Tamandua tetradactyla: one gene and its partners. The main gene of each other region encodes a partner of the protein of the gene in region 3 in a complex. Links are inferred from orthologs where the notes say so. Each region holds a gene or a part of one and is shown on either strand. Other genes may lie near its edges.

Region 1 (8,252 bases), on a different chromosome or scaffold from region 3:
ATTCCACTGGTGAAATAAATGTTGTGTCCCCAATAAATGGTTGGCTAGAAAGATTACACGGCTCTATCACCCTTATGTAGGACACCTAACCAGAGTTTGAGTTCCAGGAGAGCAGAGATTTTTCCTTGATTTATCATAGGTATATACACAGTGCTAGGAGCATGGCCTGACGCATAGCAGACATTCCATGTATTCAATAGCTCCAAACCATTATAAATATTACATGTATTTAGATTTTTCCCTGTCTTCCCAGGGATTTGATGGATAAAATATTAACTGGTATTATGATTTGTATGCTACAACAACCGATGTGCTGGGGGTGCAAGGGTAGTTCAGTGGTAGAATTCTCGCCTGCCATGTGGGAGACCCGGGTTTGATTCCTGGTCCATGTACTTCCCAAAACAGACAAACAAACAAGCAAAGAAAGAAAAAACAAACAAAAATTCAACAAATGCCGCTGCAGTAACAGGATACTCATGTGGAAAAAGAATGAAATGTGACTCCCGCCATACAGCATACAAAAATATATATATATGTATACCTAATGTGTCAAATTTAATTTTTGTAACTGAGAGAGTTTTGAACATGGAATAAAGTTGGTTAACAAGTCATATGAAGATACGTGAAAAGACACAAGAATGGTGATATCTATGGTATTTACCTCCCACCTTTTGCCTACTTTCACCTGGAGTTTATAGAAGAAAACTTCACTAAGTTCAAAATGAGAAAATACTCAAAATACTACACAGGCATATGACGTTGTTGTGAAAGGGTGTCAGCCAAAGCAATTATGTCTCTGATGAGAGATTTTAACTCAAAAGCTATAACTATTATTTGGTTGGGTTTTGGTTAGATTACAATCTACAGATTGGGAAAGCTAGCATTAGATTTCTAGATCTTTCCACCTTCACGATCCTATCATTCTTTAAGACGTCTTTCCATGCATATTGTTTTTAAGAGTCAATCAGAGAATGAGGCCATTATGCTGCCACTGATTTTGCTCACGATGGTAACAGCAACACAAAACAAGGCACCTAAAATAAAAGTGCAAAATGTGATGTAGTTACATATTTAAGAGAATTTCTCAGAAGTATCTCACATGCAGTGTAGCAGGAATCTCGGCTTGAATGTAAACTGGATCTGTTGCTGGGGTTCAAGCATGTCTGGGCATGTCTGGCAAACTGGTGAGACAGGACTGAAAGAAACTTGCTTACATGGGGGCTGAGGCTGCTTCCTGGAACAGAACTCATTTTCGTGGAAGAAAGAATTAGACAGAGAAGCCCTATAAGAAAGACTTACTCATTGGATGGGGAGTAATAAATACAGCGTGGGGTAGCTGCTACTCAAATCTGTCGCCATTCTAGGCCCATGAAAGCATGTCTGGGTCCCTTAGAGAGACAGACTTCTGAATAAAAAACATAAAGAGCTGTTTCACTGAAACAGTGTATAATACTGGGCATAAGCAGTTTGCTTTGGGGTTCCCCTAGCAAAGGTCAACACGAACGTCTCCATTTCTTCAGACGACACCATGGCTTGGGCTGTTTGTATCACATGCAAAAGCTCCTGGTAGGAGTTTGCAGTGTCTAGAACAGTGAAGAGGGCTCTCAGAAATATTTTTTTGGTGTACTCTGCTGGAAGCTGATGTCCTGACTATGTAAGTAGGCTTGGTAGGCACAAAAGATAATGATATTTGAGTTATTTTTGTTAATGCGACCTCATTAATACTATAATTGATGAGTTTGAATAATATTTGTAATCAATTAGCTTTTATGCAGTATTATTGGGCAATTTGTAATTATTTATAGGGTCACATACTGTCTGAGCTGAAGCGAACTGTAGAACAGTGATTCTCAATTTGTGAACAGTTTTTTGTCTTTCTTTTTAATTTGCAAAGGACTGCTACTTGTGTAAAGTACAGTGAAAATGAATGGCCAGAATAATGAAATTAAAAAAAAAAAAACAACAGTTGACATAAACAAAAAGGATTGATTTTTATTATTAGGTTCAGCAGACGTAAAACAGAATTACTCTGTCGGGTTGTTAACAAAGTTTGGAAACGTTCATTTCGGTATTTTTGCGGTCGCATTCAGGTAAGGAAGGCTTTGTGTTGTGTTTGTGGAAGCAGCCACGCTTTCCGCTGTCTCTTCCAACCTCTCAGCTGATGCTGCCTAAAGAAACTCTATCAATGGAGGTGCAGAATCTATTAAAACAACGATTTAAATTTCGAGAGTTTAATGACACCGATACACTGTGGTAATGTGGAGAAAGATCTTGTTTTTAGGAGACGCATGCAGAGTAGTGACGTCTGCAACTGAAGCCGATAAACCTGAGAGGGAAACTGGGAGAGAGGGATAGAGGGAGGCAGAGGGAGGGGGAGAGAGGGAAGTAGAGAGGGTGCACATATGGCAAATTGCAGTAACTGATGAATCTAGATAGGTGTATGGGTGAGCTTATTATACAATTATTTAAACTTTTTAGAAAACTTGCTATTAAAATAACAAAAAACAAACAAAACCAAAAACAAAATAAACACCACCCCCCGGAAAAAAAAACAACTCTGCAGTAGTGGAAAACTCATTATTTTCTCCAAAAAACCCAATTTCATCTTAAAGTATAAATATTGTAGCTGGAGCACTCATTTGTGGCTTTGATTACTGTCATTTCCATGTGTAAATCTCCATTCACTTTTTTTTCAGTCCCTCCATATCCCCTATACATTAGATATGGCCTTACTACATAGCTGTACTCACACCTTTCTTAAGATACCTCAGAATATACTCGTTATTTTTCAGCATCAAAACTCTTAATTCAAGACCTGCAAAAGCATTGCTTTCTCATGATTGATTAACCCTGTCTCAAATAAACTTTTATGCTTTTCTATGCTATTGCTTCTGTCTTAGAATTCCCCCCCGCACAATTATATTTTATTTACTCTTCAAGATCCAGCTCAAATTATTTAAATTTACATGTAGCTATCATCTACCTTACTTTCTACACTTCTGTTTAAATCTTACATTCTTCACGAAGTTTCCTTGATGAACTCAGCCAAAGGTCTCTAGTACTTAACAGAGAGCTTGGTGATTACACTCAGTAAACAGTTTTGAGTGAATACGCTCTGTTTAGTTCTTCATTTTCAATAAGGGTGTATTATCAAAAAATGGCTTTGAGGTAAAAATGGAGTACTGTAGTGAAGGAACTATAATGCTTTCATACTAATTTTATTTTGTTTTCTCTTGAGACAACATCGCATGTAACTGATGTCCAAAACCTGAGCATGAGACATAATACTGGGGTACTCACGGTATATGAAGACTTTCCCGTATGTGTATGAGCACAGACTCTATTTTAAGGCAATAGGTTGTCTGATACTCATCTCCCTTAGACAGGTGTCCTTAAAATTGATCTGCTTGAAAATGTGCCCTGGGTTCAGGGTGCAGTGCAGACTACCCTCCCTTATTCCAATTGCCTTTCTCCCAAACAAAAGAAATGAAAGCATGATGCACACTCACCTCAAATCTTAAGGGCCAAAAATCTCCCAAAATTTTACTAAAAGGGCAAAAAAACCCTCCAGGATGCAAAAACCTCCAGAACACCAATGAAGGGGCAAGTGGAAATACTGTGGGTGAGTGAGAATGAGGAGCACATCCATTACAAATCAGGTGGTTTTCAGTTACACACAGCAGAGTTGAAGGAAAACCTAATCAGAGTTGTCAGCTGAAAGATCATTGAAAGTATTTTGTTGTTGTTAAATCTCTATGATTTTTTGGCATATAATTTGGAAGGAGTTCAAAGATTTGAGTGACATTGCTATTATTCACAGAAGTCCATTCATTCGCATCTACTTATTGTTGTGAACAAGTTTCCTCGGTGTCTACATCCACGGAATTGAAAACTTGGAATAGAATTAACGCTGAACTCCTTATTTTTCTAGTAATATTCAGCCACTGATTAAACTTGTTGAAACAAAAACCTATCTAACTCCATTGCTGTAAGAATGGTCTCCTCCAGGTTTTACTTTTGTGTTTAATACTTACAAAAATTTACCATATGTGTTTTGACTAGTTGTAATAACACTTAGAATCTTATGGTCAGTAAAATTAAAAAAAAAACCCTTAAATTTCAGTTTGTATGCACATTTTTGTTATACGTTAAGAGTGATAGGATCAATAAAAGACAAAATGTTTTATTGGGATAAAATACTGGAGGGGAAGTTTAATACAAATAAAAGTTCCAAAAGATAAAGGAAAGATTGACAATTTCTGTGTAAAAGAAGAGATTGTTCACGTATTCTAAAAGAGTGGATTTGGCGGGTATTAAATCCCTATGGTATTGGAATTGCCTACATTTAAAAAGGGTGACAGTTACATTTTAAAGCCAGTACTTATAACACGCTGGAAAAAAACCGTAGGTGCCATCTACGTTTAAGACTGTACATAGTTTTACAAAATTAAGGGGCTCATGACTTACAACGTTTGAAGACTTCTCACCCAAAGGATGGATACTCTGAGGTTATGATTTCACCATCATTACAACTATTCAAACAGGTTAGATTTAAACCTGTGGCTCTATGTTGCACATATGGACTTAGTAACTTGTATGATTTAATTTGGTTCCTTTTAATCGCCTCTCCTTGGAGATCATAACCTCTCTTAAGGCCAGGAACTTATTCCATCCCAGGCTCAGCGCCAGTACGCAGCGGACACTCCCCAAATACCGCCGAAACAAATGACTTTCTCGTGCGAATTCGGAGGGTTGTTAAAATCCCCGGTCAGCGTTGGGGTTTCAGTTTCTTGTGTTGCGCTCGCCGCGCTGCCCGAGAGCGCGTGGGAGGACCCCTAGGAAACTCTGACGGCACCGAGCGGGAGCTGGGGCGCGGGCGCGGAACCTGCGGACTGGGGAGGCGGCACCTCATGCTCCGCGCAGGCGCGCAACTGTCTCCGCGTGAGTGCGCGTAGTCGCGCGCCTGTCCCCGCGCGGGCTCCGTAGCGCGTGTGCAAGCTGACGCAGCTCGCGGGCCCTCCTCCTGCTCTGCCGCGGCTTCGGCGGAGTTTTGGGCGTTTGGGAGGGGGCGAGGGAGCGAGAGTAGAGACAGCGAGAAGGCGGCAGCGGCGGCGGCGAGGAGGAGGAGGAGGAGGAGTAACAGGCGCCGCCATGGCCGCCGCTATCACCGACATGGCCGACCTGGAGGAGCTCTCCCGCCTGAGCCCTCTGCCCCCTGGCAGCCTCGGCGCGGCGCGAGGTCGGGCTGAGCCCCCTGAAGAGGAGGAGGAAGAGGAGGAGGAAGAAGAGGAGGCGGAGGCCGAGGCGGTGGCTGCACTGCTGCTGAACGGCGGCGGCGGTGGGGGTGGCGGCGGCGGAGTGGGGGGCGGCGAGGCGGAGACGATGTCGGAGCCTAGCCCCGAGAGCGCCAGCCAGGCCGGGGAGGACGAGGACGAAGAGGAGGACGATGAGGAGGACGAGAGCAGCAGCAGTGGCGGGGGCGAGGAGGAGAGTAGCGCCGAGAGCCTGGTGGGCAGCAGTGGCGGGAGCAGTAGCGACGAGACCCGGTCCCTGAGCCCCGGCGCTGCCAGCAGCAGCAGCGGGGATGGCGATGGCAAGGAGGGCCTGGAGGAGCCCAAGGGACCGCGGGGTAGCCAGGGTGGCGGTGGGGGCGGCGGCAGCAGCAGCAGCAGTGTAGTCTCCAGCGGCGGCGACGAGGGTTACGGGACCGGGGGAGGCGGAAGCAGCGCGACCTCCGGGGGCCGGCGAGGCAGCTTAGAAATGTCTTCGGATGGGGAGCCCCTAAGCCGCATGGACTCGGAGGACAGGTCAGTGCACCGAACCGTCTCCCCTTCCCTATGCCCTCTTGCACTCCTGGACCCCTTTAGGGGACTTTCTGCTGAGACCCCCGTGTTCCCTGAACCTTCGGCGCCTCCCCCAGGCTCTCAACTCCGAGATCTCCGACCGCCGCGCCCCTTTCGCAGCGGATAGCGGCTTCTAACTCTCAGACCATTTTTCTCCAACTCTCCTTTCCCCGCCCTCTTCCCTCTAGGCTCTGTGCTTCTTATGGACCTAAGGGGAGCTCTAACTTGGAAACAATCCCCAAATAGGTCCCCGATCTCCTGGTGGAGCACGAGGAGGCTTTGATGTACACCTTGGTACATAAGGTTAGCTTCATTCAACCGTCCTCGTGAACACTTGTCAGAACTATAATTGACAAGTGTCTTCCAACATGGCTGGTCTCGCCTGGATTTAACATAACTTCCTTGTCCAGGAAGGAGACCCCAATTATCGCTTTTCTCTACTTAAAGAAAAAAAAAATAAAAAAGGAAGATTGTGCTTTTATATTTAATCAAAGCTTTCCAAATTCCTCATTTGCAGTCATTAATGTGATTTCTGACATGATTTTAATAATCTTTTCTGTTTTGTGGTCAAATCTGGAAGTTTAAAACGCGTGTAAATTATCGTGGAAAGAATAATGAATTGCTGTTTTTTAAAATAACGGGCGTCAAAAAGTAGTAATGATAATACAGTGTCGAAGGTTCAACATACTAGTGTGTCGTTTAAAATCTTTAAAAAGTAATGCTTCGAAGTGAGAGTCACGATTTTAGATGATATTAAAAGTCATGTATGGGAGAGGCCTATGAAGAAATGAGTATCATTTTCTAAAACTTGCTAGGAATAAAGTGGAGACTGATTAAAAATGCATCCAGTATTTTCAGATTTGATAAAAATATTGTAATAGTATGTTTCCGTTCACAATCATTACACTGATCCCTTTGGAGAACTTAATGTTTTAATTAACTGGTTTTTAATGTACTTTTAAACAAAAGAATTATATGCATCATGCATATTATATTTCTAAAGTATATTAGCATTTATTTTAATCATCTAATATTTTGAGGAGCAGTAGGATTTTTAACAATCAGTATTGATTTTGATTTAAGAGTTTAAGTATTCTAAAGTTTTTTTTGCAGGAATTTTGATGAACAAAAGTAAAACTATCTTCAGTGTTACAAGGAATACAAAGGTCTGAATATTTTGGAAATCTAGCATTAGATTCTGTTCCACGTTTACTTTGTCTAGTTAAAACAGTTTGGATGGAGTAAAATAGACTATGAATGTTAGAAAAATTGTTCGTACCTAGGCAGGAAGAAGAATGTTCTCAAGAAAATTACAGATTATTTGTGAACTGCATAGTGAATTACGTGCTGTTTATCATTTTGTTATATTCTTCACTGCTACCACTAGAAGTTGATGTTAGGTTATACAGTCAGCATCTATCGCAGTTCCTTGTATTTACTGAATATTCATACACACACATAAACACACACATAAACATCCACATTTGCCTAATACTGCACAGTTTAAATGTTTCAGCTTTAGTACAGGATATTATTTTGACTTCCATTTAATAGATGATGAAACAAGTTGAGTTGTGTCTTACTCAAAACAATTCAGCTTGGGAGTTAACAAAGGTTCTCAAGTCCCCTGTTATTTCAATTTAACAAGACACTGAATAATTCACCTTAAGTAGCAAGTTGTGTATGTCAGATTTTGTTTGTTGCGTTAATTTCTTTCCATTACATCTCCTAAGGAGACAGTTTGTTGGCCATGTAATATTTCAGAAAGGATGAATTTTGGTTTCATTTGACATTTAATAGATAATTTCTTTGAAAATCTAATTTTTACATCCTTCAAAGTAAGGAGTAATGGTTTCAGGTGGTTAAAACGTAGATAACTAAGCATACTTGTCTTTTCTTAAAGAATGCTTAAATATTAGAGATTTCAAAATTTTGTGGTAATTTTTATATACAGTTTCAGGGTATTAAATTAATCACTTGGATGAAAGAGCTTTATATAAGTAGTGAACCTGGTTGCTGGTCTTGAACTTAATTCTGAAATGTCCTCTTCTTGCCTCTGAAGGTCCCCCCTCTCCCCCCAGAGTTGTTTTAATTTGGAAAGAATCCATAATTCTTATAAATTATCCTGCAGATTACGTCAATCTGTGGGGATTTCATAGATTGATTTCATGGAAGGAAGTCTTTATTTTTGTAACTGATTGAAGCATATCATGGCTGTCAGTTGCTTTTAAAAATATTTGAGACATTACAATATCCTTAAAACTTAGGTTTGTTCAGTTTTTCTGTCATTTCGAAATTAGGTGGTACTTTTGATTTTATTTGAAAGCTTTAGGGTTTGTTGGATTCAAATTTTTTTTGCATGGGCAGGCACTGGGAATCGAACCCAGGTCTCCGGCATGGCAGGTGAGA
Region 2 (7,902 bases), on a different chromosome or scaffold from region 3:
CACTGAATTACCCTTGTATCCCTCAGTACATTTGCAACCCCCTCTACACTTGCACCCGCCCTTATTTTTACATTAGTGGAGTGAGGATGATAATACCTACCTATCTTGATCAGGGTTCATTTTATAGATAAAATGAAACTATTATGAGAGTGTACTTTAAACACTATAAAAAGTTGTACAAGTGAAAGATAGCATTAGATAGCACAGGGAAAGATAAGGTTGTATTAGGAAATTAATAATGTACAGATCTAAAGAAACTTTCCCTAGCAATTCTTACTTAACACGTGTATTTAAGTCTAGTTAAATTGAAAAGGCCAGCTCTGAAAGGGGAAGAAGGAAATATGGTATAAAGGTCAAAGTAGGATTAGAGCATGTTAGGTCCACAAAAATCTGGGGTGATAACTGAATTCAAACCTCTCATTTTCTACATGATGGACCTGGGGCCCAGAGGGGTCAAGTGAATCTTGTAAGGTCACTCATATTAGAAACACCTAATTCTTATCTCGTGATTCGCTTCCTTGTCAATGGCAGCCTCAATATAAAACAAATCATGCCCCCATGAAAATTCCTAATTAGGAGAGAAAAAATAAACAAACGACATACTTGGCAAGCAATACAACACAGAACACAATTTTAAATCTCAAAAAAATGTGACCAGAGAAGCACGGGTAATGAGAATCCCAGAATGAGTAAGTCAAGCAGCCAGGCTAAATTGGTGATAGGACTAAAGCTGAGGCCTTAGAATGTACGACATAGAATGTAGGTAAATAAAGATACTGTGAAATGGAGTGTAATATGGAGATGAATTGTGAATCATTTCTTAGGAAAACAATGGATATGATTGATGTTTGGAAGCATGATAATCTGTGTCATCCTGGGTGAAGAGGAACACTTCAATGTGCATTTAATACACGACTATTAATTACTTTTTTCTACTTGATCTTTATTAACACTTTAATTCTTACCCCATCCTTTCTTATAGTAAATGAAGTGGTGGACAAGAATGCTTAATTAAATATGATTGCCTAAGCAGATTTAAACCCAGAATAGTGCCTGCTCTTATTTGTTTCTAATGACTTGTCACCTCTTCTTCCCTCACCCCATCAGGTTCCCATTCTTCTTGGAACGGATAATCAATTTAATTAAAGGAGTATAAAAGGTAAAATCAAGGAGTAACTTTAGACACTACCCTCTTTTCCACCATTCCCTACACCTAACCAGTTCCCAAGCCCAGTGGATTTTTGATATGCTAAATATTTCTCAACCTGTCCTCTGCTCCGTATGCTGTTCCCTCTGCCACTTGATTCAGATTATCACCATTTCTCATGTCATTTACGCAATAACAGTTCAACTGGTATCTAGGCCTTCTTGCCTCTAGTGTTTCTATTCTCATTTCTCATAGTGGCAAAACTACCTTTTAAAAGTGTAAATCTGCTTTATACATATGGATAAAATCCTTCTTTAGTTTACAGGACAAAACCTAAACTCCATTGCCTGGCACAAAGAGCCTTTCAGGTCCTGGCTCTCTGTCGTAATTTTGGCTACTCCCAAACAAATAGCAAACCCCATCCCTAATGTAGCAATTTCTTCAACTCTCATGATTATTTTACTTGCTGAAAAGTTTCTCTGCTTATTTCAAACTGTTGACCCCCCTACTTATCCTTCAAAACTTCCTAATTCCTGGTCAGCTCAGCTATTCATTGCCTTTAGCTCCTTTACCAAGCTGCTAATATATGACTTCTTGTCCATATAGTAATTGACTGTAAAGTCCTCTTCTGTTGAGCTATGGAATCAATATACCTAGTGAGGTATCACCCCACCCTCTTGAAGAGGTCAAGAGGAATGCTTTAAGTGGGGAAAATAAGTAGGAGAAAGCGTGAACTAGATTTACAGAACTGAAAGAGGAGAAAAAGAAAGGAAAGGTAATAAATGGCCTTGCTAAGATAGCAGGGAAAGGAAGTTCATCAACAGACATTCACTTCCACAACAGGAAAGGCCTTCAACTGCTAAAATGGACAATCTATTTTTCTTTTCAGGAAAACATCACAATTATCCAAATCTTTAGCAAATTCCTTCTTTCCCCCTGCCTTCAGGACTAAACTAGCAGAAAATTTTTTTAATACCTGGTGATCTGGAGTTGGTAGCCAGCAGGGGAGTTCACAGGCCCAGGACTGAGAGGTCCAGCCTCAGGGCCTAGCAGAGGGAACCAAGAAGAAATCCACCTTTGTTATTTAACATTTGTCTGGAGCATGACAGGTCTGACATGAAACCCCCCAAAAGCTGCTTCAAACCACAACAGTGTGAAGCCCAGACTCCCACTATTTGCAAGTCTTTTGAAAATACCTTGTAACCTAACCATAGCATTTGCTTGGGTGGCCAACACTAAAGTGGCGTCTGTTCTATTGGATCCTTCCCAGCAAATGGTACCAGAGAAGATTTGCAGTATTAAGGCATGGACGGTGATTTATTTTCTTGATTATGAAATGACCATGGGTCAAAATTACTCCATTTTAGAGAGCACTCAGATTTTTTATTTTAAAGGGAAAGTAATAATTAAAAGGGCCTTTAAAAAAGCCTTTCATTCCCAACTAACATTTACAGGATACTTCCTACAAAGTGCCTAGCTCTTAGATATGTTTTTCACAGATTGGGTCAACCACCCATTTGCAGATGAGGAAATTGACGCTCAGCGTGGTCGTTAGTTGCATTGTTCTAGGAAATGGCCAAGGTGGAATTTGAACCCAGGTCTCTTAACATCCATTTCTGAGACCTGCAGTTACTTCAAACACTACTGCAAATAAAATCTAATAATGGTGTTCCTCGTGTATTTGTGTTTGAACTCTTGAGTTAAGCAGAACGGAAGCAATGGGAAGGAAATAAAATTTAGAGGAATGAGAAGGAGGGAGCAAGCGCTTATCCCATTTTCAATTTACTCAGAGGGTATTCTCAGAATAAACTTCAAACATTGCTTCCTCAAAACCACGGTTCTAACAAAAAAAATTAACGCAGAATGGCTGTGCGAGTCTCGTCAAAGTTGTCAATAAGGCAAAGGCTCAGGGCGGTAAAGAGATGCACCAGGTCATGCTATTTCATTTATTTCAGCGTGACAAGGGCGGTAGGGAGAGGAAGGTGAAAACGCGAGCTCTCCCGGGGCTAACTTGGTGTTCCAGATGCTTCCTTACTGTTACCGAGGCTGTGTGGCTTAGTCTCCATATTCCACTTGTTTTTACTCAGCGTTTCAGTCTCACTCCTGGACACACCGGACGCCAACACGCCTGTGAGAGAAAAGATCCTCTTTGATCTCTTCAGAGACGTCTATCTTTTCCACAGGCGGCCCCGGGGAGTGAATCTGGGGCCTCCCCCGACGCCTCTCTCGCGCTCGCGAACGCCGGGGTCGCGCGCCGAGGCGGGGGCGCCCTTTAAACACGCCAGTGCCCGCGATCCCGCGGCCGCCCACCCCGCGCGGAGGGGCGCGGGCGGCTTCGGGGCGTCGAGCGGAGGAAGAGGTGACCTCAGACTACCCCGGAGCCGGACAGGAGCCGCCTGTGTAAACGCACGAGGCGGTGTCCTGAGGTGACACCGGCTGCACCGCAGAAGCAGCAGGCGCCGCCGATCAACTAGTTCGCGCCGAGGATTCCTCTTGGTGCGTGGCCCAGTTCTACTCAGGACCCGCTCCAACCCCTCCCTGACACCGCCCCCCGCGCCGGGAAAGCCGCGCAGGCCGCCTCCCTCTGCCCCCCCGAGCCCCCGACACTGGCCGGCGCGCGCGCGCGCGATTCCTCGATTCCACAGGCGGTTCGCGGCCCGAGTGGGGGCGGGGCTCGCGGGGAGAGGACTGGCAGCCGCGGGCGAGGGGGGTGCGGGGCGGGGGCGAGCCGGCGTGGGGAGTTCCTCGCTCGCGGACCACACGCTCTGCGGGCCAATCCCGAGCCAGCCTCTAGCAGTGTCGCACGCGGGACACGTCCAAGCGTTTGTTGGCAGAGCTGGTGAGGGGGAGGGGGCGAGAGGGAGGGAGGGGAGTTGAATGACAGGCTCGCGGGGCAGGCTGGGAGTTGTAGTTCCCACCTCCCATGGCCATAGCCATTTTGTAGTCGGGGGACTACAACTTCCAGAAGATCAAGGGGACCATTCTAAGGTGCCCCGGGAATAGGCGGCTCTCCCCGGGGCCGGGCGTCCTGGGGCACTCGTACCCAGAAGCCGGGCTGCAGGTAGATGTGAGGGCAGTGGCGGGGGCTAGCGTGTGGGGGCTGTGGGGCGAGCGGCGAGTGGGGAGAAAAGGGGTGAGGTGGAGCGACCGAGCGTGCCATGCATTGGGTTTAGGGATCGTCTGTCAATTCCAGTCCTAGGCTCGGCGTGGGAGAGATGTCTGGAAGGTTGCCTGGGGCGGGCTCATTGCGGTCTCTCGGGTGTCTGGTCGACCGGGCTGCGGGGGTCCTCAGGACTGGGCCAGGGGCGGTGAGCGCCGCGGTTGGCTGGCGCCTGGTGGCTCAGCTGTGGGAGTTTTCGGCTAGTTTTTGAAGGGGAATTACCCGAGGAGCCCTAACTTGTATAAAAGCAGAGTCCATTTAAAGTTGGGCTGGATAGCCTCTCTCTCATTGGTTAGGGGGCTTGGAAAAAAGAGACTCGGCGAGCCCTCGCTGTGGTGCCGCCGCCGCCGCCGCTGGAGTTGACTCTTCTCTCACTGCTGCTGCAGCACAAACGTGACTTCCAACATTTTTTATTTATCTTTCCCTTTTCTTTTCCAAGATGTAACTACATATCAGACACTAAGGACCTTCACGTTCCGCTGATGTAGTTTTTGGAGGAAAAAGGGGGGAGTGAAGGGCGTCGGTTTTTTTTTTTTGTGTGTGTGTGTTTCGGGGGAAATTTTCCATTATGAGTGTTTTACTAAAGTGAATTTTTTTTTGTTTGCTTCGTTCGTCTTTGGCTCTTTTTTTTATTTTTCCTTCCCAATTTCGGATTTATTTCAAGGCGAATCTGGTTTTGGGGGAAGAGGAAGAAAAGTCGGATTACAAGATCAACCACCACGACCAACAACAATAAAAACCTACAGGATTTTTTTTGCAAATTTCTGACGGCTTTAAATTCATGAAGCAATTGTCCCCTTTTGCAATCAGCATTTGGATCTCAGAATGAGCAAGGAAAGACCCAAGAGGAATATCATTCAGAAGAAATACGTAAGTGCTCTTAACAACATATCCTTTGACTCGCAGTTTTAAGCAATGGCTGTGAATGTCAAGTTTATAGATAATTCTGCAGCTGAAGGGTTTTAAACACAGCGTCCGATAAGGCTTTTTCTTTCTTTTCAGAAAGAGGGCTTTTCAGGCAAAGTCGTGTCTGTTCAGTTTGGTCGAAAAAACAGATTGGTGTAGCGATACCTCAAGTGAATAAATTGACCTCGAATGACACAACCATAATGTAGTTTTGGATGAAAGGCAAGGGATTTTGGTGGAGCTTGGGGGGGTGGGGTGGGTGGGCGGTTGCGGTAATGTAACTAAACTGCATTCTCGGGCGGATTTGGCCCCCATATTGCACTTTGCATGCAAATGAGCCTGTTATTATTAATGTTATTTGAAAATCGTATAACGCGTGTGTAGTCTAAGCCTTTTAACTTGCAATCAAGTGTCCGATTTTGGCGACCTTGTTCCTTGCACTGGCACATCAAATTTAATGTATGGGATCGTTTTGGCTTATCTGGTTCGGAACATAAACCAGTTGGGAATCATGTTTCAGCGAATACATTTGTTGGGGTTGACTTTAATAATGGGGCTGGTTTTGTTTAAAAATTCATGGTTTCCAGTTTTAGGGAAAAAAAAGACTGGCTGGTGTTTTTAAGTGTGTGCGTAAATGCATATGTTAAGTGTCTACAAGTAATTTCTTCCTCTTAACTGATCTGATTATTCAGAGGTTTAAATGGTTTGGCACAGTTAAATTTGTTTCGTGCATAGTACAGCTACATTTTGATTGGCATTGGGAGTGTTTTTGTTTTGTGTGTGGTGGCTTTTTTTTTTTTAAGTTTGGGGGGAGGGAGGGGAGCATGAGACTGGGGGATTAACCAAATATATACTCTAGTGGTCGGCTATTAGCTGTACGCGTTAAATGAAAACCCATTTTTTAAAAAGGCCAAATGTTCATACATCGAGAATAATGCAGCGTTATAAGAAAGTTTTATTGGACTCGAGTTGACAAGTTGGGCGTTAATATTCCTTTTTGATATGTGTGGTGGGAGTAACATTCGGGGCACTGGTTTTGCAAAAAAAAAAAAAAATAATAGAAAAGATGAATACCTTTTTTAGAGGGGTGATCCTAATCTAGACACTTTAAACTTCCCCTGTGGAAGAAATTCAAGGTTAAATAATCAAGTCCAACTTAAAATGCTATTCCATAAAGAATTTACGAATTAAAATACATCCGCATTGCAGAGGGTTGGGGAGAATGCAAAGCACTAGTTTAAACTCAGGCTGTATAAACTGCATGGAGGCAACCTTGCCTGCGAGCGTGGAAGCCCTCCCGGGGCACGTCCATTTGGGATGCAGCCACAAAGCAAATTGGGTAGAACTTGGACAAGAACCGCCCCTTCTACACCCCCCACCCCCACCCCCCGCTGCCCCAACCTCGTTAAGTTGGAGAGTAGTGTGGGGCGGATATTTTTTGTGTGTGACTACGCCGGCGGATGGTGCGGCAGCCAAAGTGTCGAGTCCCGCCGCTGTAATCCCGTGTCTGACGGCGGCCGGGGAGGCAGAGCTCGAGTTGTTGCTTTGGGAGAGGAGCCGTGTTCCGGACGTCCTCGGGCCAGCCGGGGAGGGGGCGCCCGGGTCGCCGTGGGCCAGGCTGGATGGCCTGTAGGGGGCAGGCTCCCGGTTCCGGGCGGGGGCGCGAGACGGACGCCGTGCGCCCCGGGACGGCCCGCGGGTGGGGTGGGGCAGGGGCAGGGGGCGCGAGGCCTGCTAGGTCCCGGGGAGTGTGCGGCGTGTGCCGGGAGGGGGCCAGACCGCCCACAGCTGAGGCGGGAGCCCCCACGGTGAGCATGGCGGCGGCGGCGGCCGCCCGGGGGCCGGTTCTTTGCGGCCCTGCCGGCGGGCTCCAAGGCGCAGTCTCGAGCGCAACAGGTTAAGCCGGCGAGACGTCAGTCCGCTCCCCCCACCCCCCGGTCCTCCCCCCGCCGGCGCCCCCGCCCTCCACCCCCGGCTTCTCCCGGTGCCCGTGTGCGTCCCGCTGCGTTCTGTTGTCATTGTGACGTCACAAAGGGACGGGCCTGGGTGGAACCTTCCCCTCCTCCTCTGTGACGTCAGAAGTCGGGCGGGAGGTTCCAGACGCATCCCGGCTGCGGTGGGAGGAGGGAGCGCGGCTGGGGCCGGGGCTGCGGAGGAGCCGCGTGGCCTAACCGCGGCTGTAAATCCGCGTGGGAGGAGGAGCGGGAGGATGCGCTCTGCCTCTGCCTTCCGCCCCGAAACTGCGCTTCCCACCAGGTGAGAGCCGAGAACCTGTCGTCTCGGAACGAGAGCCCCCGGATCTTGCTCTGATTCCGTGGAGGGGTGCAGAAATGCGTTTCCTCCGTTCCAGGTCTTCTGATGGTATTGCGTTTCCAAGGCTTTTGAAAAGGAAGGAAACTTAATTCAGGGAAAGCTTTGATTTGTTGGAGGACACCCTCGTTGAGTGTGTCTTTGCAGGATGTGCACCCTGTGGCGGCTGGGTGATGGCTGAATGCACCGCAGCTTGATGTCATCTGTTGTACTTTCTGGAAGCCAAGGTGGCGGGGGTGGTGTGTGGATCGCTCCTCCTTGGTATGCTGGCTCTCTGCCTAGAGAGTGTATTTTTTGGGGGTAGGGAACACACAGGGAAGACTTATCATTGATTGATATTTCTGCTTGGAAGACCACTGGACTCTAAGTGTATCGGCCC
Region 3 (8,484 bases):
ATGGCCCCTGTGGACTTGCGAATTTCTATGTCTTCTTTGAGACAGCCTGCTATAGTTCGCTGCACCACAAACAACAGCCAACTGATTCCACACAGTCAAGCAAGTGGGTGACCCCTTCCCAGACCAAGGAAGTATGCCATCCCGGGATTACCCCAATAGAGTCCCAGATGCATGCCCTTTACAGCTGGTGGCTCTTTGTTCTCCTGGCTGGCTCGCCAAATATTCCAGTCCAGCATAACCCCCGAGACCAAAGAAAATGCTGGACAGAAGATTACTCATGAGTTTAACTAGGGGATTATGGACAGGAGGAAGATCTTCCCCAGTGGTGGCTGGTTGGAAGATGAGTCTGCACTCCACCCAATGAAAAGAGAGAAAAAGAAAGAGAGCATGCCCATGGAAAGGCTTATAAAGTTTAACTGCATTGTGAGATTTGGTACAGTAGAATTTTAGCAGAGTCTCATGAGATTTGGTTATTAGGGGAGGAGGTGTATATTCTTTGATCTTTAATGTCTGGCCTGGTCATGTAGGCAGATAAGTGACTTGCTCACAAAATACTGGAGAGGATGGGGTCCAGACACTGGGTCCTTACACTTATGGATGCTACCCCCCTCCCCCCCCAGTTTACCCATGACAAGGACAGACACAGACCTTCCACATACCCATTCTTTGCTTCATGTACTGGTTTGAAACTATTATGTACCCCAGAAAAGCCATGTTTTAATCCTGATACAATTTTGTGGGATCAGCCATTTCTTTAAATCCTGATTCAATACTGTAGGCAGAAAGGTTTTTTTTAGATTATCTCCAGGGAGATGTGACATGCCCACTTGTGGGTGTGATCTTTTGATTAGATGGAGGTGTGACTCCACCCATTCAAGGTGGTTCTTGATTGGTTTACTGTAGTCCTTTAAAGGGGAAAACATTTTGAAGAAGTCTCAGATGCAGGCGCAGACACAGACACTTGGAAATGCAGATGCAGACTCTTGGAGAACAGTTGTTTCAGAGCTGACAGAGACACGGATGCCTAGGCACTGGTAGATCCCAGGAGACGTTGCCATGTGCCTTCCCATGAGATGCTAAGCAAGGCAGAATACAGAGTTGTGTCATGGAGGAACTGAGTGAAGTCCAACAGATGCTTAGAGAAAAAACACTGTCATCAGAAGTGGAAGCAACAGAACCAGGAATAAGGACCAGCAGATGCCAGCTATCTGCCTTTCCAGCTGACTAAGTGTTGCAAACAACATCAGCCTCTCCTGAGTGAAAGTAAACTCTTGTTGATGCTTTAATTTGGACATTTTCATGGCCTTAGAACTGTGAACTTGTAACTTAATGAATTCCCTTTATAAAAGCTATTCCATTTCTGGTATACTGTATTCTGGCAGCATTAACAATCTAAAATACCTCATAAATGGCTAGCTGAATTGCTTATCTCCACTGATCTATCAGATCAAAATGATCAATCAGAACAAAGTTTACTAAGCAAACCTGGGTTAAACTTCTCTTCTTCCTCCAGATACCTGAACTCTAAAGGAACCTCCCAGAAAATAGGCTGATTCAAAGCATAAAATATTCTCTAATCTATTATCTGACCACGTCATCCTTTCATCCCACTACCCTACACCTGGTTTCTTTCCTCTGTATAATAGAAAGACTCATTTTGCCTAATTCTTGATGGTCAGAGAGGTCTCCCCCTTACTACAGGCCCTTCTCTCTATTGCAATAACCCCATTCATACTTTGCAATGATCCTTTTGAATAAAATCTTCCCTTACCAAACCTGGATTTGTTTTTTATTTGACTACAGAGATGAAATTTTACTACAATGAATATTAAGCATGCAACATTTATTGTTGTCTTGAGTTTGTTATTGTATGAAATACAACTATAAAACAAAGTGATTAATTTTAAACCAATGTGGTCAGAATAGCTTTATAGTAAAATGCATGGACCCTGAAACCAGACTGCCTGCTAGTCTACTTGCTAGTGGCGCACCCTTGGGCAAGTCCTGTCTCTGTTTCCTCATCTATAAAACCTAGGCATAGATTATCATCAGTAACAAGTGTCATACATTTGCTAAATAGTAAATAAACACAGCACAACACATTCATTAGATACTCTGGGCATTGAATATCCAAAGTAAGTATTATTCTTTTTGGAAGAACTATTCCAATGATGTAGCTATTGGTCAAAATATATGTGAAACTGTAATCAAAATGTTAAGAATTAATAAATGATTATGATTACTGGATCATTATATAGAGAACCGTATTTTCTTTTGTAGACTAACCTAACGTTAATACCTGACATTACTGAAACTCAAACTAGTCCCACTCTTATTTATAGCTACTACTGTAATGGTTATTCTAGCCTGGTCTGAACCCTATTTATATTTGATATCATAATGGTAATAATTCCATCTCCCCTTGTTTGAATCCATAAAAATCCTGAACTCCTTAGATTGGGAGAGAGAGATTTTGGGGTTGATAGGCCATTTGATCTCCTGCTTCTCCCTTACTAATATGCTTTTTCTCCCTTTGAAACCCTGGTGTCATGGATTAGCTGTTATGCACACCAAGCAGAGAAACTGTCTTTTGTTGGTATCAAAACCAGTACCACACTAATGCCAAATGTTAACAATAGGGAAAACTGTGTGGTGTGTGGTGGTGGTGGTGGGGCCGAGGGAGTTGTATGGAAACTCTATCCTTGCTGCATAAAGTTCTAGTAAACCTACAGCTGCTTTAATAAAAAAAATCTTTAAAATATATTTGAAACCAAATAAAATTGCCTTCAGAAGCTGTACATGTTCTTCCATAATATTACCCATGGCAGCAAATCTTCCTTTTTTGAAGATAGATTTGCTTTTTAAAATAGCCTGATGTCCTTCAAAGCCAAAGATGGTGAGTATAATGCGAGCAAGCTGGGAAGTACATTCTTGGGAAAAACGGGTGTGATTAAAGTAACGATGGCCCATTTTCTCTGAAGCACACTTCCAAAAGAGAAGCCTTGCAAATACGCTTAAGCAATGGCAGCGCCTTTGGATCAAATGCATATATCAGTTATCTATTGCTGCATAACAAAATAACCCAACAGGGAGCGATTAAAGACAACAAACATTTAATTTCTCAGTAGTGACTGTGAGTCAGGAATCCAGGGCGGCTTATCCAGGTCCTCAGGCTCAGGGTCTCTCACAAGGCTGAGATGAACGTATTGGCTGGGGCTGCAGCCATCTCAAGATTCAACTGGGGAAAAATCTGCTTCTAACTCTATGTGGCAGTTGCTGGGCCTAGGGCCTCACTGGGTGTGGCCTCTCCATACTGCTGTCTTCAGTGGCAGCTTCCTCAGAGGAAGGGATGAGAAAGAAAGAAAGAGAGACTCAAAGAGACAGAGACAGAGAACTCAAGGCAGAATTTACAGTCTTTTTTTTTTTTTTTTAAAACTAACCTTGGTGATAATATCCCATTACTTTAGTCTTATTCAATTTCTTAGAGATGAGTCAAAAAATTCAGGTCACCCCCAAGGAGAGGGGATTACACAAGGGGGTAAATAGCGATAGGCAGGGATCATTGCATAATCCCCTCAAGTGGCAAGGCTGAATGATAACACTCATTTCCAGATTTCTCTTTTTCTCTTTATATATGTCTAAATATGTGTGTGTGATTGTTTAAAAATTCGTCATCTTTTTATAAGAATGTTACAGTTTTTTTCTGTGATACAGATATCTTTGTGAAAAACTTATTTGACACAAAGAACATAGGATCTTAATCATCGTCACTCTTGTGCCTGAGTAATGGATTGAAATTACCTAGGTAAAAAGTTTAGTTCTAGTCCATTTCTTTTACGGTGGACTTCACCTCTGATAGAATTATTTATTTACTTTTTTGTAATTTGAAACATTTAAGTGACTATCATTGAACAAGATCCTGGTATTCTGACATTTCTAGCATTTTGTTTCTTAATGTCTTTTAATTCAGGAGTTAATTTATGTATTAACTTTACTAAAGACAAATGACACAAACTACCTGTTTTCAGTGAGCTCCCACCAGCCTGCAAATGCAAGCTATACAACTTCTCCAGCTAAGAATAATGCTTGTTAACAAACAACACCATTTTCATCTATCAAGATTTAATGAAAGTAGAGCCTTTCTTCCAAATTTTTTCAAGACTCTTTGTTTTTCTTAAATGGAGCAAACTTATAACAGAGGGTGCATATTTCTCAACAAAAGAGTCAAGTTTATTTGCTAATATGAAAGCCTTGTGTTGAAACCTCATGATTTGAGTCTAAATGTAAAGTCTAACTACCGTGGTGACTAAACCAAAGAGATGACCACTGCTTGACAACTAAAGACAGAAAATGGTGGATTAATACTGGAATCAGTAAGTCTTACCACAGAGCTTAAACTGATGTACATGGTTTTAAATTGACCCTGATCTGTGAACCTATGTATTTTATATGTGAAACTATATAAAAAACCAAATTTATGGAAAACACGTTCATCCACACCTACTGAATGACTGAATTATAGAACATAATTAATGACTGAATTAATAGAACAAACTTGCTGTATCTTTTTTTTTAACCTATAAATATTTCTTTAAATGCCTTCCTCTGAAATCCCACTCCCTTGTTAAACACTTAGCAATTTGGTATACATCTTCCAGATCTTTTCTATGTAACACGCAGATTCATGAGCACGCTATACGCATATTTGAAAGGGACCTTCTTCAACTTGTTTTTCCCTCTTTTCTCCTAAATGAGAAGTGCATTCCTGTATAATATCAAATTAACCATTATAAGAGTAAAAATCTTTTATCTTCTCAGAACGCTGAAGGTTCATTTGAAGTATAGGCAACTTCAAAAATACTCTCCTATTCAAACTGTCACATGAAGATTACTTTCACATACATCTCAATTATCTTCGTACAAATCCTACCAACTGCTGCTGTTAGCTCTATGGCAAAAAACGACAGTTAGTCAAGCGTGGTTGTGGGGGGAGACAATGCTAAACAGATTAACAATAACCCACAACCCTCGGACCAACCGATACAAACTGTTAATCTCTGCCTATTTATAGTTCCTTTTTGAACTCTTTTCTAAGTAAGGACACTTTTCATGACCTATTTCACAATCTTGACAGGAAAAATACGTAATAGTTTCCGACTAAATTCAGTGAAAATAAAACAAAATTACTCTTTTTAAAATAGTTTTGCAAGAATTTTATCAGCTAGCAACCTTTTTTGCATTTCCCTTTTACAAGTGCATTATGGGTAACACCTAGCTAAATCTGAAAGTAAACTAGGCGTATGGCTCCCAGCAATGAAGGCTGGAGAAGTTGCTCGCTAGTCTTGGTAAGTACAGCCCAGCTGGAGCTGGGAACCCACGCCCTGCCCTCGTAGAGGCGGAACCGCCGAGTGAATAACCGAAGGAATCTAGCCACTCTTTTGCCTCTGCGCTGCCATGTGGGACCTGCGCCTGCTTGTTTGGCGGGTTTTCCCCCTCACATTCATAGAAGTTTCAGAACCGCGTAGCCACGTCTGGTCTTCGCAGACGCGGATCCGGCGGAATCCGGAGTTCCTGGGAGGCAGAGCGCTGGCCTCCTTTTCCGTCTCTAGGGACTTGTATTTCCCACCAGCCTGCTCCATTTAATCCCTAAAAGTCCCCGTCCCCGGAAATCGCGGTCGTCTACTGTTCAGGTTCCAAATTGGTTAAGGATGAAGAGTAAGTCAATGGGGGTCATACAGGTGACCCCAGCAGGACTTCCTTCTTTTCCTCCAGTAATTGCAAATACCACCCAGGAAACGCCGTGTTTGTTAAAAAGAGAACTTCAGCAGTTTAAATGCCTCATAAATTAGTCATCGTTTCTCAATCCACCACGGCGGCCGAGGTATTTCTTATCAAGAACTGATTAGGAAATGCAAACCATGGGTGAGCCTTCGAAGCTTTAAATGAAGATTTTAATGAAAGCTTAAGGAAAAACTGAGAGGAGACTGTCCGCACTTGAGTATTTTGCACAAATTTTTTTGCCAACCAAACCCTTGTTTTTCTTAATTAAAGGAGAGGGTTTTGGCCAAGGATGTTGGTCAGAACCCGGGTGTTTCATTTGCCAGAAATACTTTCAATATGTAAGCCTTTCAGTATATCAGAATCTTTGGCCTTTTAAAGAAATTCTCTTGGGAAAGTTTGATAGATTTCCTGCAGTTATTCAGAGTAAAGCCTGTTCGTTAGGGCTTTCCAATGACTGACTGTTTTACCTTCCTGTAAAGACAAATCAGAGAATTGTACAGAAAAAGGCCTAAGGTTACTTTCTTATTTATTGTGATCAATGAAAAAAATTGGAAATTATAGAAATATTGGGACTGGGATTGGGAATTCCTGAAAAATGAAGGAACCCTCAGATAGTTAAGATACTAAACATTGTCGTAGAAAAAACTGGTGGCACAAAAAGTTTAGATTTTTAAAATACATGCAATCTAGGAAAGGCAGTAGATTTAGAGATATGCTGTCAAAGCTGTATTTTAAAGGCGAATAATTGTTGTAGTGACATCTTTAGAAATTTGGAGATTTTTTGTCAATTGAGGTGAAAATTTATATACCAGTAATCATAGTTTGTATAATAATTTGCAAATTTCCTTGTATTATCTCACTTATATTACACTAGTGATGTCTATATCTTTGGAAATTGATAGAACAGGTTATCTTTTTCTCCCTCCTATAATATTTATTTGATTCAAAGGAAATAAAATGAGATGTAGAGCAAGTATTTATAAATGGTGGGGTGAGAGGTTAGCTCTACATCTTAATAGAAATAGTTTTAGTTCTAGATCTACAAGGACTCAAGTTGCTTGCCCTCTTTTATGTTCTTGGAGATTTACCTCCATGCCAACCATTGTGCTAAGAGCTTTACTAGCTCTGTCTCATTTAGTCCTTAGAGCCTACTCCATTAGGTAGGTTAAATCAGTGAAATGAAATAACTTCCTCCAGGGCCACAATCTGTAAAAGGTGGAGCAGGAGCCCTCTCTGAGCCTGGGTCTCTCCAGGGCTAATGTGCTCCTTCTAAGCCCCTGACTCTTTCTCTCCATCAAAGATATTACTGCAGGGGTGAAAGGTGCCTAATCTAATGCCTAGCACCTACCAAGCACATTAAATAAAGGGTCATTTGAATTAATTAATAATCATTGAGTATGATTCTTCAGGGATTTAATTTTAATAACTTTGATCAACATTGTATCTATGTCCTCTTTTTTCCCTTCCCATTATCCAAAACATTTATAAATTCCTAGATTCATGCTAATGATCCCTTCTTTTCTGTTTTTTTTTAATTGAATGCAGTTTTATTGAGATATATTCACACACCATACAGTCCTTTTCTTTTTAAGCTATCTAACTGAATACAGTGAGCTATGTTTATATGGCTACAGGAGGAAACACTGTGTCCTCCAGGTGGGTCCCATCCTGAAATGATGAGACCGGGCAGACAAGTCACTGGACAGTGCCGTTGGGAAAGGAGCATCCTGTCTTGGCCCTGCACTGCCTGTTCTGAATCTGACACTGTCGCAACAATGGAATGGTGGCTGCGGTTTGAATCCAGCGTGGAATATTCAACCAGGGAATATGAGAGCCAAGTAGAGTAGGAGTCTTTGGCCCTTGCAGGTGACAGGGAAGTGAAGCGGCTTTGCTTGCTTTCCTGGCCGCCCTCACATCTGCTTGGGATCAGTGTCTCCACACCAGGATACCCAGACATTTTGGAAAAGATTTATTGCTTTTTCTGATTATAGGAGCAAATACATGATTGTTAGATAAAATTTGAAAATGTGGAAAAATATGAAGAGGAAAATTAAAAATGACCTAATTGGTCTACTACCCAAGTAGTTATTTCTTCCAATCCCTTTCTCTATGCGTTTTTTTTTTCAGTTGGGATCATGCCTAATACATTTTTTTTTTTTAACCATGCTACTTTTGCTTAACTTACTTATGAAGTCTAAGCATTTCCCCGTACCATTAAATTCTCTTCATGAGCATCCTTTTTAGAAACTGGGTAACAGTCCATCCTGTAGACAGCTCATAATTTACTCACTCATACCCCTAACGGTGGACACGTCAGTTATTTGCATTTTTTCACTGTATTATATAATGCCAGCATGAACATCCTGAGTTCATGCATCTTTCAATACCAGTTATTTTCTTGGTATAAATTTTTGGGAGTGAAATCACCAGATGTCAGAATATAATGATTCTTTAGGTTCTAGTTACACTTGCTGAGGGCTTTTCAGAAAGGCCGCGTGGTCTGGCACTCTTGAGACGTACTGGGGATGTCAGCAACATGTCTGTGGCGTTTGCAGCCTGGAGACGGACCAGGGAGACATGGCTCCCGCTGCTGTTCGGATGTTGAGTGGAAGTAACCATCATATTCTAAGGACTGTCAAAATAAAGAAAAGACCTAAGTATTGTGTGCAGTTGTTGCATGCAAACTTGGTCTACTGTGCTGCA

The links. Proteins that work in one complex are often made in the same cells at the same time.
Region 1: the proteins of EZH2 (region 3) and AEBP2 are in contact, whole or in part, in a cryo-EM structure (PDB 8VMI), measured with the Homo sapiens proteins. The link is inferred for Tamandua tetradactyla from reciprocal best matches to the Homo sapiens genes EZH2 and AEBP2. Residues at the interface, in NP_001190176.1 of Homo sapiens: Ser76, Leu77, Arg78, Gly79, Thr80, Thr100, Asn102, Ala103, Val104, Ala105, Ser619, Asp620, Val621, Ala622, Ile739, Glu742, Met743, Glu744, Ile745, Pro746; in NP_001107648.1 of Homo sapiens: Lys382, Leu383, Lys384, Asn385, Arg387, Arg388, Ser390, Leu391, Pro392, His395, Asp399, Ala400, Gln401, Asp404, Ala405, Arg407, His408, Ile411, Cys412, Leu415.
Region 2: the proteins of EZH2 (region 3) and JARID2 are in contact, whole or in part, in a cryo-EM structure (PDB 8VNZ), measured with the Homo sapiens proteins. The link is inferred for Tamandua tetradactyla from reciprocal best matches to the Homo sapiens genes EZH2 and JARID2. Residues at the interface, in NP_001190176.1 of Homo sapiens: Arg78, Ile131, Pro132, Tyr133, Asp136, Ile146, Lys156, Val157, Asp160, Arg161; in NP_004964.2 of Homo sapiens: Arg108, Pro109, Arg110, Leu111, Ala113, Gln114, Arg115, Lys116, Thr154.

The regions. Positions count from the first base shown.
Region 1 is NC_135333.1:82,025,894-82,034,145, forward strand, and holds the start of AEBP2 (zinc finger protein AEBP2), read left to right. Parts: upstream 1-4,943; 5' UTR 4,944-5,151; coding exon 5,152-5,807; intron 5,808-8,252. UniProt on the Homo sapiens protein: Acts as an accessory subunit for the core Polycomb repressive complex 2 (PRC2), which mediates histone H3K27 (H3K27me3) trimethylation on chromatin leading to transcriptional repression of the affected target gene.
Region 2 is NC_135351.1:18,258,068-18,265,969, forward strand, and holds the start of JARID2 (protein Jumonji), read left to right. Parts: upstream 1-4,593; 5' UTR 4,594-5,132; coding exon 5,133-5,177; intron 5,178-6,287; exon of another isoform or gene 6,288-6,331; intron 6,332-6,614; exon of another isoform or gene 6,615-6,860; intron 6,861-7,902.
Region 3 is NC_135327.1:193,080,039-193,088,522, reverse strand, and holds the start of EZH2 (histone-lysine N-methyltransferase EZH2), read left to right. Parts: upstream 1-5,299; 5' UTR 5,300-5,300; coding exon 5,301-5,345; intron 5,346-8,484. UniProt on the Homo sapiens protein: Polycomb group (PcG) protein. Catalytic subunit of the PRC2/EED-EZH2 complex, which methylates 'Lys-9' (H3K9me) and 'Lys-27' (H3K27me) of histone H3, leading to transcriptional repression of the affected target gene.